2 linked regions of the Macaca fascicularis genome follow. The protein of the gene in region 1 interacts with the protein of each later gene in a pairwise test. Links are inferred from orthologs where the notes say so. Each region holds a gene or a part of one and is shown on either strand. Other genes may lie near its edges.

Evidence for each region. The genes of interacting proteins can lie anywhere in the genome.
Region 2: the proteins of YTHDF1 (region 1) and DHX30 interact in a two-hybrid assay, tested with the Homo sapiens proteins (2 studies listed by BioGRID, with this or other methods). The link is inferred for Macaca fascicularis from reciprocal best matches to the Homo sapiens genes YTHDF1 and DHX30.

Annotation. Positions count from the first base shown.
Region 1 is NC_088384.1:119,319,736-119,325,172, reverse strand, and holds the start of YTHDF1 (YTH domain-containing family protein 1), read left to right. Parts: upstream 1-1,835; 5' UTR 1,836-2,117; coding exon 2,118-2,144; intron 2,145-2,352; exon of another isoform or gene 2,353-2,392; coding exon 2,393-2,417; exon of another isoform or gene 2,418-2,546; intron 2,547-4,041; coding exon 4,042-4,121; intron 4,122-5,437.
Region 2 is NC_088376.1:110,782,112-110,786,804, forward strand, and holds part of DHX30 (ATP-dependent RNA helicase DHX30), read left to right. Parts: intron 1-1,484; coding exon 1,485-1,637; intron 1,638-1,949; coding exon 1,950-2,786; intron 2,787-3,060; coding exon 3,061-3,136; intron 3,137-3,219; coding exon 3,220-3,324; intron 3,325-3,568; coding exon 3,569-3,744; intron 3,745-3,963; coding exon 3,964-4,170; intron 4,171-4,261; coding exon 4,262-4,343; intron 4,344-4,421; coding exon 4,422-4,615; intron 4,616-4,693.

The sequences.
Region 1 (5,437 bases):
TTGTGGGTGAAGGCAGCAGGTAACAGCCAGTGTTAATAGAGTCCCGGCCTGATGCCAAGTGCTGCACGTCCAGTTTCTTCCGCACACTCATCCTGTGAGAGGGGAGTAATTACCCCACCAGTGAGGAGGAAAGGAGGCCTGAGGCTGAAGGCCCTGTAACTGGCTGTGAGGCTCTGAACTCCAGTGGTGACCACTGTACCATCCTGGCTGAGAGATGGGAGCCGGGGGAGCAGACAGACAGGGGCTCTGACCACCCAGACACCCCCTTGCTGCAGTCAGGGCTGCCAAGCAGTTCAGTGTCCTGGGAAGCAGGCACTCAGGCCCTGCCTAGGATGCGCAGGCCTTATCACATAGAGGCAGGTGGCAGAGTGCCCCCAGGAATCCCGCTGGCCCTACAATCCCCACACATCTTCTCCATGTCTGCTCCCATCCGGGAAATGTGTTCATTTTCAGATCTACCCCAAATGCACAGATTTCATCTCGGCCTGAGGTGCCTGCCCACGGTCAAAGCATATCAAAGTCCCAGTGGATCCAGATTTATCCTCAGGGCACCAGACATCCCTGAGCTCTGTTCCAGGGAAACATGCCCAGTCTGCTTTCCCCAGCTTTAGGCGAGGCGGGGCCCCAGGGAGGCCTGGTGATGAGCAACTTGGAGCAGCAGTCCTCTCTGTGGCTGACTGGCCCACTGGGGGCCGTTTCCACCTCCTCCTGCAGCAGTGTGAGAGGCTGTCTGCTGCCTCACTGATGAGGATGTCCAGGCTTGGAGCCGTCTTGGGACTCCATTGCCATCCCTGCTGTCACTGTCCGCCCTGCCTAGCACATCTGTCCGGGCCCACTTTGTGGAAAACACTCCTTTGACGTCAGAATGACTGACACCCCATTCCAGGTCTTTCTCCTTCAGCGGGACCCAGATCCAGGCCACGTGAAGATGTTACACCTGCCAGAGCTGGAAAGAAAAATATCAACCTCGAAGCCTCTGTAGGGAGTTAGCCACAAGGGTGGCAGGATTGGATACTGGCTGCAGGGAGCGAAATTCAACGCCTGACCAGAAGGGCGTCCAGACTGGGGATGCTGAGGGGTTAGGAACTGAGAACTGGGCTCTCTTTGCACAGCTGCAGCTAAGAAGGTGCTGTCCATCCTCGAACAAAGACCAGAATTCCCCTGGCCCGGCCTAGGCTGCGGCACAGAGCACTACCGTAAGTCTCTTTTCCTCCTGGTGATGAAATCGGGGTCAAGAATCTAATATGCGAACTTCGTTATAAGCCGGCGAGCCTCTTGCAGGTCCGGAGGTACATCCACAGAACAGCTGACCTTCGGGACCGGGCCCCGGGCTCCGCTGCTGCTGAAGGCCAGGGCTGCAAAGCGAACAAAGCCCGCAGGTCCCGCGGCAAGGCGCAGGGGCTCGCAGCTCTGGGCGGGCAGGGCTTTGCGCGTGGGGGCAGGGGGGACCGACCACGTACAGACCCGTAGCCCGGCTGTCGGACCAGAGCAGCGTTTAGTCTTCAGACCTTGGGGAAAACCACAGAGGCCTCAGTGCCTGTAGCGCGTCGGGGGCTGCGGCCGTGGACGGGGCGCGGGGGTGCGGGGGCGCGGTGCACACCTGGACGCAGCCCGCCAGCCCCTTCCCAACAGGCCGCGCGGCTCCGCCGGACACGCCCCACGTGACTTCCCCGGCTCGGGGCTTCCCCGCCCAGCCGGCTGCGGCCCCCGCCCCGCCGCGCGAAACTACGACCTGGGAGCGAAATCTGTCCCGTAAGACAGCAGCGCGCAGGCGCGAATCGTGGCGGCCCGGCGCGGTGCTCCCGGCCTGCCCCGCGTGCGCGCTGACGCTGCGCAGTCTCGTTCCCGGCTGCCGCCGTCGCTGCCGCTGTCGCCGCAGCCGCCGCCGCCGCCATTGGAGTCGACGCCTCCTCAGCGCGTCCGCGTCCGGGGCTCACCGCCGTCGCCGCCTCGTCAGGGGCCCGCGCGCCCAGCAGCCGCCGCCGCCGCCGCCCGGCCGGCGCCCGGGGAGTTGGCGGCGGGGCCCGGGGCCGCGCGAGCTAGGGTGACAGGCCCGGCCTCTCGGGGAGGCCCGAGCCGGCGGGCGCCCCGGCCCCGCGTCTAGTTGTTCATGAAGCATGTCGGCCACCAGCGTGGACACCCAGGTAGCGGGGCCGGGTTACGGGGGCCGTGGCCGGGGCCGAGTCGCGGGGGCTGGGTTGGGGTCCTGGGCTGGACCGCAGAGGCCGGGGTCGCGGGGGCCGGGGTCGCGGGGGCCGGGGTCGCACGTGACCGCGCCTCGGGGCCTGCCGAGCTCGCTGCCCGCTGGAGACCAGTTCTCTGGTGAATAACTTTGTGTTTCCTTTTTTCCGCGGGTTGTGTGTACCCCACGTCCCGGCCTGCGGCGGTGCAGAGAACAAAAGGACAAGATAATAAAGGTGAGCGGAGTCCCGGGACGGCCGGCGCGGGCTGGAGTGGAGGAGGACGGGGAAGGAACGGTCCAGGAAGCTGCGTCTGGGACCGGAAACTTTCTCTCTTCCGCCAGCTTCAGGGAGATAAAACTTGAGGTTGTGTGACGATTCTGGGAGATTTGGCAGGTCGAAGACAAGGGCTTCTCAAGAAGTGAAATTTTAAATGAGTGTTCAGAGTAATTTGGGCCCTTCTCTGCCCACTGCATGATCATGGATTTGCTTTGGGGAAGGGGAGGTAGGAGAGGAGGCTTTGCGGGGTGGACATGGCCGCAGGGGACGAGCGACTTGCCTTTTGCTGCCCAGTAGGGGCTGCTCTAGGAGAGGGGCAGTCCGAGGTTCTGCAGGCTAAGCTCCATATCCCGGGTAGTTTCAGCCGGTTTTCCAAGTCTGTTAGCATCTCCTGTGACATTATGGCTTGGGATAAACCCTCAGAGCGCACTGGTGGGAAAATTGAAACACTTTTTTAGCTAGTTTGTGTGTCAGCTCAGGTGTAAACAAATACTGTGGTTCATCGTGTTTTAAGATTGGAAAAGGCCCAGCACTTTATTTACCTTTGCTTTCTTTTTCTGACTGAGCATAATAACAGTGGGAAGAAAAGTGGTGTGAAAGGAAGATCAATCTTCGGGCGCCCAAATCACTGAGCCAAAGGGAGAAAGCTACGCTGGGAACTGCTTAGGGCAAACCTGCCTCCCCTTCTATTCTTGAAAAAGATAGTTTCTAAGACATAAAAAGTTACATACCTCCCCCACAGTTTGCCCACAAGGAAATTCCTGGTGGACAAAGGACTGAACTCAGAGTCATTCCTCCTCACTGAGATAAATGCTTATCTGATTGCTTCGTTTGGAAAGGCTAATCAGAAACTCAAAAGAATGCAGTCTCTTACCTACCTATGATCTGGAAGCCCCCTCCCTGCTTCAAGTTGTCCTGCCTCTCCAGACCAAACCAATGTACATCTTACATTGATTGTTCTCACGACTCCCTTTATAAAATGTATAAAACTAAGCCGTGTCCTGACCACCTTGGGCACGTGTTGTCAAAACCTCCTGAGGCTGTGTCATGGGTGTGTCCTTAACCTTGGCAAAATAAATTTTCTGAATTGACTGAGACCTGTCTCAGATATTTGGGGTTCACTGTGGAGAGTCAGATAATAACTCCCAGTAGTCCTTCAGTTGCAGCCCCTTCCCTCTTAAGTTTTCTTCCCTCAGTTTCGCCATACATTTGGGCATACATTCTGCATTTGGGTTTTTGGAGGCTCCACTTCTATTTGCCACACATAGGTCTTTATTAGACCATGTCAGTTTCACCCTGGTTATGTGTTCCTTGCATTATGTGTTAACACTTAATTTGGTCAATCTCACCAAATTATGTTTAAGCCTTTATTTAAAATTTAGCTTAAATTATTGAAAGTTTCCTGTCACCCTTCTAATTAGTTGTGTAAACCTCAGTTCTATACTGGTTTTATTCCTTTTAAAATAAAAGCATAATTTCTGCTAGAAATAGATGGAAATAGACTTTACTTAAACTTTGACTTCCGTGCTTAAAAGTAATCTTTTAAAATTTGAGGGTAATATTTTGCAACTTTTTGTTCTAGTACAAAATGGTTCTTTACATCAGAAGGATACAGTTCATGACAATGACTTTGAGCCCTACCTTACTGGACAGTCAAATCAGGTGAGTTTATTTTGTTAGCATATATTTGTTTTTAAGTTGGTTTTAATTGTCGTGTAACACACCTTTGTTGTCATTTCTGATTTTTAAATTATCCTAAACAACAAAGCAGCAGACTATAAAGTATTAGAAATGATAGAATGCTCATGAAGATGTGCCTCCTGTTAACCTTGGGCGTGAGTGGGATGAAAATGATTTACCCCGTGGAGGAGGCAGCATCCCAATGGGGCCGGTATGCAAACAGGTCTAGTTGGCTCCAGTTTTTGTGGGTCACTGATGTGTCTTGCCTTTGATGCAGTGGAGTTGTGTGTGTTTCTGAAGCTTACTGGTTATTTTTCGCTGTGGATGATTGGAATTGTGGTCTCGGGAAGCAGCTGAGAGCTGGGCTGTGGAGCAGCTGTGGAGCCAGATGCCGCCTGGTTTTCAGTCTTTTTTTTTTTGAGACAGAATCTCACTCTTTGTCACTGAGGCTGGAGTGCAATGGCACGATCTCAGCCCACTGCAAACTCTGCCTCCCGGGTTCAAGTCATTCTCCTGCCTCAGCCTCAGGAGTAGCTGGGATTACAGGCGCCCACCGCCACGTCTAGCTAATTTTTGTATTTTTAGTAGAGACAGGGTTTCTCCATGTTGGCCAGGCTGGTCTCAAACTCCTGACCTCAGGTGATCCACCTGCCTCGGCCTCACAGAGTGCTGGGATTATAAGCGTGAGGCACCACGCCTAGCCTGATTTCACTTTTAACTCCACCACTGACTGGCATGTGTCTGTGGCTTGCATTCTCTTGCCTCAACTTTCTTTTCTGTGGAAGAAAGAGAGGAGTAATTCTTTGTAGAATTGTTGGGAGGATGACATCAGATGGTGTACATAAAGCGCTGAGACAGTACCTGATACAGCAGGGCCCAGTGAGTCATAGCTGCCCTGTTTTCTTAGGTAATTCAGGCTTTCTCTGCCTTGGCACTGTGGACATTTTGCATGGGAACATTCTGTTTTGGGGGCTGTCCTGTGCATTGTTGGATGTTTAGCAGCCTCCCTGGCTTCCCACCCACTAGATGCCATTAGCAACTCCCTCTCCCCATACCCAGTTGTAGCAAGCAAAACTATCTTGGCTGATGTTTTTTGGGGAATACAATTGCCCTGGTTAAAATCTACTGGGAGCTGCTCTCTCTCCTCTGTGCTACTGTTGCAGCAAAACTCCCAAGAGAAGCCATATCTGGTTAAGAGTCCAACTCAGGAACCAGACTCCCCTGCCTCCAGGCCAGTGGCTTGGATGAGAGGCTGCACCTCTGTGAGCTCCTCACTTTGGTGAGCAGGCCTCATGGGG
Region 2 (4,693 bases), on another chromosome or scaffold:
AAGGAGCTTGTGTTGGCACCTCCTGTGGAACGAGGACCAGATTCCTGTCCTTGAGGTCCTTACAGCTGATGGTGCCAGCGTGCCCAGAGGCAGGGGGTTGGCCCCTGTTGTGGAAAGACTTATTTAAGGAGGAAGTGTTTGATCTGGGCTCCGAAGGGCGAGCAGAGTCCAGACATTAGAGGTGACAGGAACACAAGACTAGTTTTACCCACGTGCCTGAGGTATTGGAATGCCATGTTTTATCTCTGGCGAGGTGGCTTTAGGTATGTAAGGAGGTAAGACACAGTGTTTTCCTTGCAGTGGCTTGTTTGATCAAGTTGCATTATAATCAACATTTATAGGAAACTCCACGTGTATCTATATGATGGGGTTACAGATGGGTCAGGTGCCATGTAGGGACTAGGAGGTGGGATGGAAGAATGATTGAGGGAGGAAGGCTTTGATGAGGCAGCAAAGGAAGAGGGAGTCTGTGGGGTGTATTCTAGCGTCATTGAGGGCCTGGTCTGGCTGGTCCGAGGGTACACGTTGGGAATTCACGGAGGTGACAGGGGCCTATTGTGGTGTTGGAGGGGCTCTAGTCGCACAGTGAGTGGTTTCTCCTCAGGGCCTTCCCCAGACGTAGGGCTGTTCTGCTGTGACACATCACGTTTAGCTTTTCTTGAATTAACTTTATTATTATTTTCTTCGAGACAGAGTCTTGCTCTGTCGCCCAGGCTGGAGTGCACCATCATGATCTCCGCTCAATGCAACCTCTGCCTTCAGGGTTCAGGTGATTCTTGTGCCTCAGCCTCGCTAGTAGCTGGGACTATAGGTGCTGGCCACCCGCCCGGCTAATTTTTTTTTTTTTTTTTTTTTGAGATGGAGTCTCGCTCTGTCGCCCAGGCTGGAGTGCAGTTGCACAATCTCAGCTCATTGCACCCTCCGCCCCTCCAGGTTTAAGCAATTCTCTGCCTCAGTCTCCGGAGTAGCTGGGATTACAGGCGCGTGCCACCACGCCCGCCTAATTTTTTGTAGTTTTAGTAGAGGTGGGGTTTCACCATCTTGGCCAGGCTGGTCTTGAACTGCTGACCTCATGATCCACCTGCCTTGGCCTCCCAAAGTGCTGGGACTACAGGTGTGAGCCACCGCACCCAGCTAATTTTTGTATTTTTAGTGGAGATGGGGTTTCACTATGTTGGCCAGGCTGGTCTTGAACCCCTGACCTCAGGTGATTTGCCTGCCTTGGCCTCCCAAAGGGCTGGGATTATAGGTGTGAGCCACTGCACCTGGCCTGAATTAACTTTAGTTCATTTTTTAAAACGTTTATTTTGGTAAGTTTACATTTTCCTAGTTCATAATTTCTCCCTCCATCACCATGTCAGCCAAGATCCAAAATCTCTTAGACATTACTTGGCACAACAACTGCCTCGGAGCTCCTGAGCTTGTCTGGGCTGGTTTTTGGGGAGCCCTAGAGCATAGACTGAGTCTTGCATGTCTCCCTGCAGAGCCTGGGCCTGGTGGACAGGAACAATGAACCACTTACACACGCCATGTATAACCTGGCCTCTTTGCGTGAGCTGGGTGAGACCCAGCGCCGACCGTGCACCATCCAGGTGCCCGAGCCCATCCTCCGCAAGATAGAGACCTTCCTGAACCATGTAAGAGGCCCTGCATCCCTCATCACCCTTGCCCCCTGGAGTCTGCCTCCGTCTCTTCAGACTGAAGGCCTCTACCTGCGACAGGCAGTAGTACCTCCCCATTCTCTTCACTGAGATTGGGGCCTGGGAGCCCCCTGGCCTCAGCAGCCCAGTCTTGCCCACAAGGATCCCGGGGCAGTCACGGACTAAATTAATCCTGTGCCCAGTGGGTTGGGCCACAACCTCTGACCCAGGCGGATCCTGCAGAGTGGCTGGTTGGGTGGTAATGAGGAATTTCTTTTTCGTTGTTTTGCTTGCCTCCCTGCCCCCCAGTACCCTGTGGAGAGTTCGTGGATCGCCCCAGAACTCCGGCTGCAGAGTGAAGACATCTTGCCCTTGGGCAAGGACTCAGGGCCTCTCAGTGACCCTATCACAGGCAAGCCCTATGTGCCCCTGTTGGAAGCAGAGGAGGTACGTCTCAGCCAGAGTCTGCTAGAACTGTGGCGGCGGCGAGGGCCAGTCTGGCAGGAGGCCCCCCAGCTACCTGTGGATCCACATCGGGATACCATCCTCAACGCCATTGAGCAGCACCCGGTGGTGGTCATCTCTGGGGACACAGGCTGTGGGAAGACCACACGCATCCCCCAGCTGTTGCTGGAGCGCTATGTGACCGAGGGCCGCGGTGCCCGCTGCAATGTGATCATCACCCAACCTCGCCGCATCTCTGCTGTGTCTGTGGCACAGCGGGTCAGCCACGAACTGGGCCCCTCCCTGCGCCGGAACGTGGGCTTCCAGGTGCGGCTGGAAAGTAAGCCCCCGGCCCGAGGCGGGGCCCTGCTCTTCTGCACTGTGGGTATCCTGCTGCGTAAGCTGCAGAGCAACCCCAGCCTGGAGGGTGTGAGCCACGTCATCGTGGATGAGGTGCATGAGCGGGACGTGAACACAGACTTTCTACTGATCCTGCTCAAGGGCCTGCAGCGGCTCAACCCGGCCCTGCGGCTGGTGCTCATGAGTGCCACAGGGGACAATGAGCGCTTCTCCCGATACTTTGGTGGCTGCCCTGTCATCAAGGTGCCTGGCTTCATGTACCCGGTCAAGGAGCACTACCTGGAGGACATCCTGGCCAAGTTGGGCAAGCACCAGTACCTGCACCGGCACCGGCACCATGAGGTGAGGGACACCCCCATCCCACCCGAGACTCTTGGCCTTTCCTCCATGGATGCCCCTCCTCCCTGGCCCTGGGGCTTGGTGGCCTGGGGCAAGTTACCCTCCCCAGTCCTCAGTTTCCTTGATAGAAACTGAGGACTAACCCCATGTGCGTGGCACGCATGTGAGGATTGGAGTTGATGTCAAGCGGCTCCGTCTCACTGAGTCAGGTGGCTGTGTCCTTGGCATGACCCCTTACCCCGGGGCTGTGACTGTGGCCTCTCTTCCCCCACCCCAGTCTGAGGATGAATGCGCACTCGATTTGGACCTTGTGACTGATCTGGTTCTGCACATCGATGCTCGTGGGGAACCAGGTGGGTGCCTCCCCATCTGCCCCATGCCAGTCCTGGCCACGCTTGCAGAAGCAGCTGGCTCATGCCCCAGGGCTCCTTTGCAGGTGGGATCCTGTGCTTCCTGCCTGGGTGGCAGGAGATCAAAGGAGTGCAGCAGCGCCTCCAGGAGGCCCTGGGCATGCACGAGAGCAAGTACCTCATCCTGCCAGGTGAGAGCCCGGGCAGAGGGACCAGGGACCTTTGGAAACCAGCCTGGCCTCTGTCCTGGGGACTGACCCAACTGGGACTCCGGGGGTCCCGGTTTCTGACCAAGCTGCGGCACTTTTCACTGGGCATAGTGTTTATCTGCACCTGTTTCATCAAAATGGGGTCAAAATCCTTGCCCTGCCCACATTCCAGGGGGGAATTCTGGTGGAAGCAGTGCCCATAACCAGTGTGTGTCTTGCCCACCAGTGCACTCCAACATCCCCATGATGGATCAGAAGGCCATATTCCAGCAGCCTCCAGTTGGGGTGCGCAAGATTGTCTTGGCCACCAATATCGCGGAGACTTCCATCACAATCAATGACATCGTGCATGTGGTGGACAGTGGGCTGCACAAGGAAGAACGCTATGACCTGAAGACCAAGGTGGCACCTACCTCCTGGACCTGGCCAGCCACTGGGGGAGGGACTCCGTTTCGAGGTGGTCTGCAGCCCAGATCTACCTTAGACCTATTTTGTGTGTGTTGAGAAGGCCACACTTGTGGGGTCTCAGTGTTCCTGGTGTTGGGGGCTGGTGAGGGTTACTCGGAGTGGGGAAGCACTGAGGAAGTGGTATCTGTGCTGCTTACCTGCCCCCTCCTCCAGGTGTCCTGTCTGGAGACAGTGTGGGTGTCAAGAGCCAATGTGATCCAGCGCCGGGGCCGAGCGGGCCGCTGCCAGTCAGGCTTTGCCTACCACTTGTTCCCTCGAAGCCGGCTGGAGAAAATGGTCCCTTTCCAAGTGCCAGAGATCCTGCGCACGCCTCTCGAGAACCTGGTGCTGCAAGCGAAAATCCACATGCCTGAGAAGACGGTGTGGTGGGGTGGGGCGGGGTGGGGGCTGGCCTGGGGACCAGACAGGTGGGAGGCAGGCTCATGGCGGGCTCTGGCTCTGTTTGTCTTAGGCGGTGGAGTTCCTGTCCAAGGCTGTGGACAGTCCAAACATCAAGGCAGTGGACGAGGCTGTGATTTTGCTCCAGGAGATCGGTATGTAGGGGCTGGGCTGGGCTGGGCTGGGCCGGGGAGTAGCTCCTGAGGGTGGCACTGACAGCTGAGCCATTGCAGGGGTGCTGGACCAGCGGGAGTACCTGACCACCCTGGGGCAGCGCCTGGCTCACATCTCCACCGACCCCCGGCTGGCCAAGGCCATAGTGTTGGCCGCCATCTTCCGTTGCCTGCACCCGCTACTGGTGGTCGTTTCCTGCCTTACCCGGGACCCCTTCAGCAGCAGCCTACAGAACCGGGCCGAGGTGGACAAGGTCAGTCCTGACTCCTTCCTGGAGCCCTCCACCCACTGCTGTTCTGAGGGGGCGTTGTCTAGCCCCTGCCTGTGACCC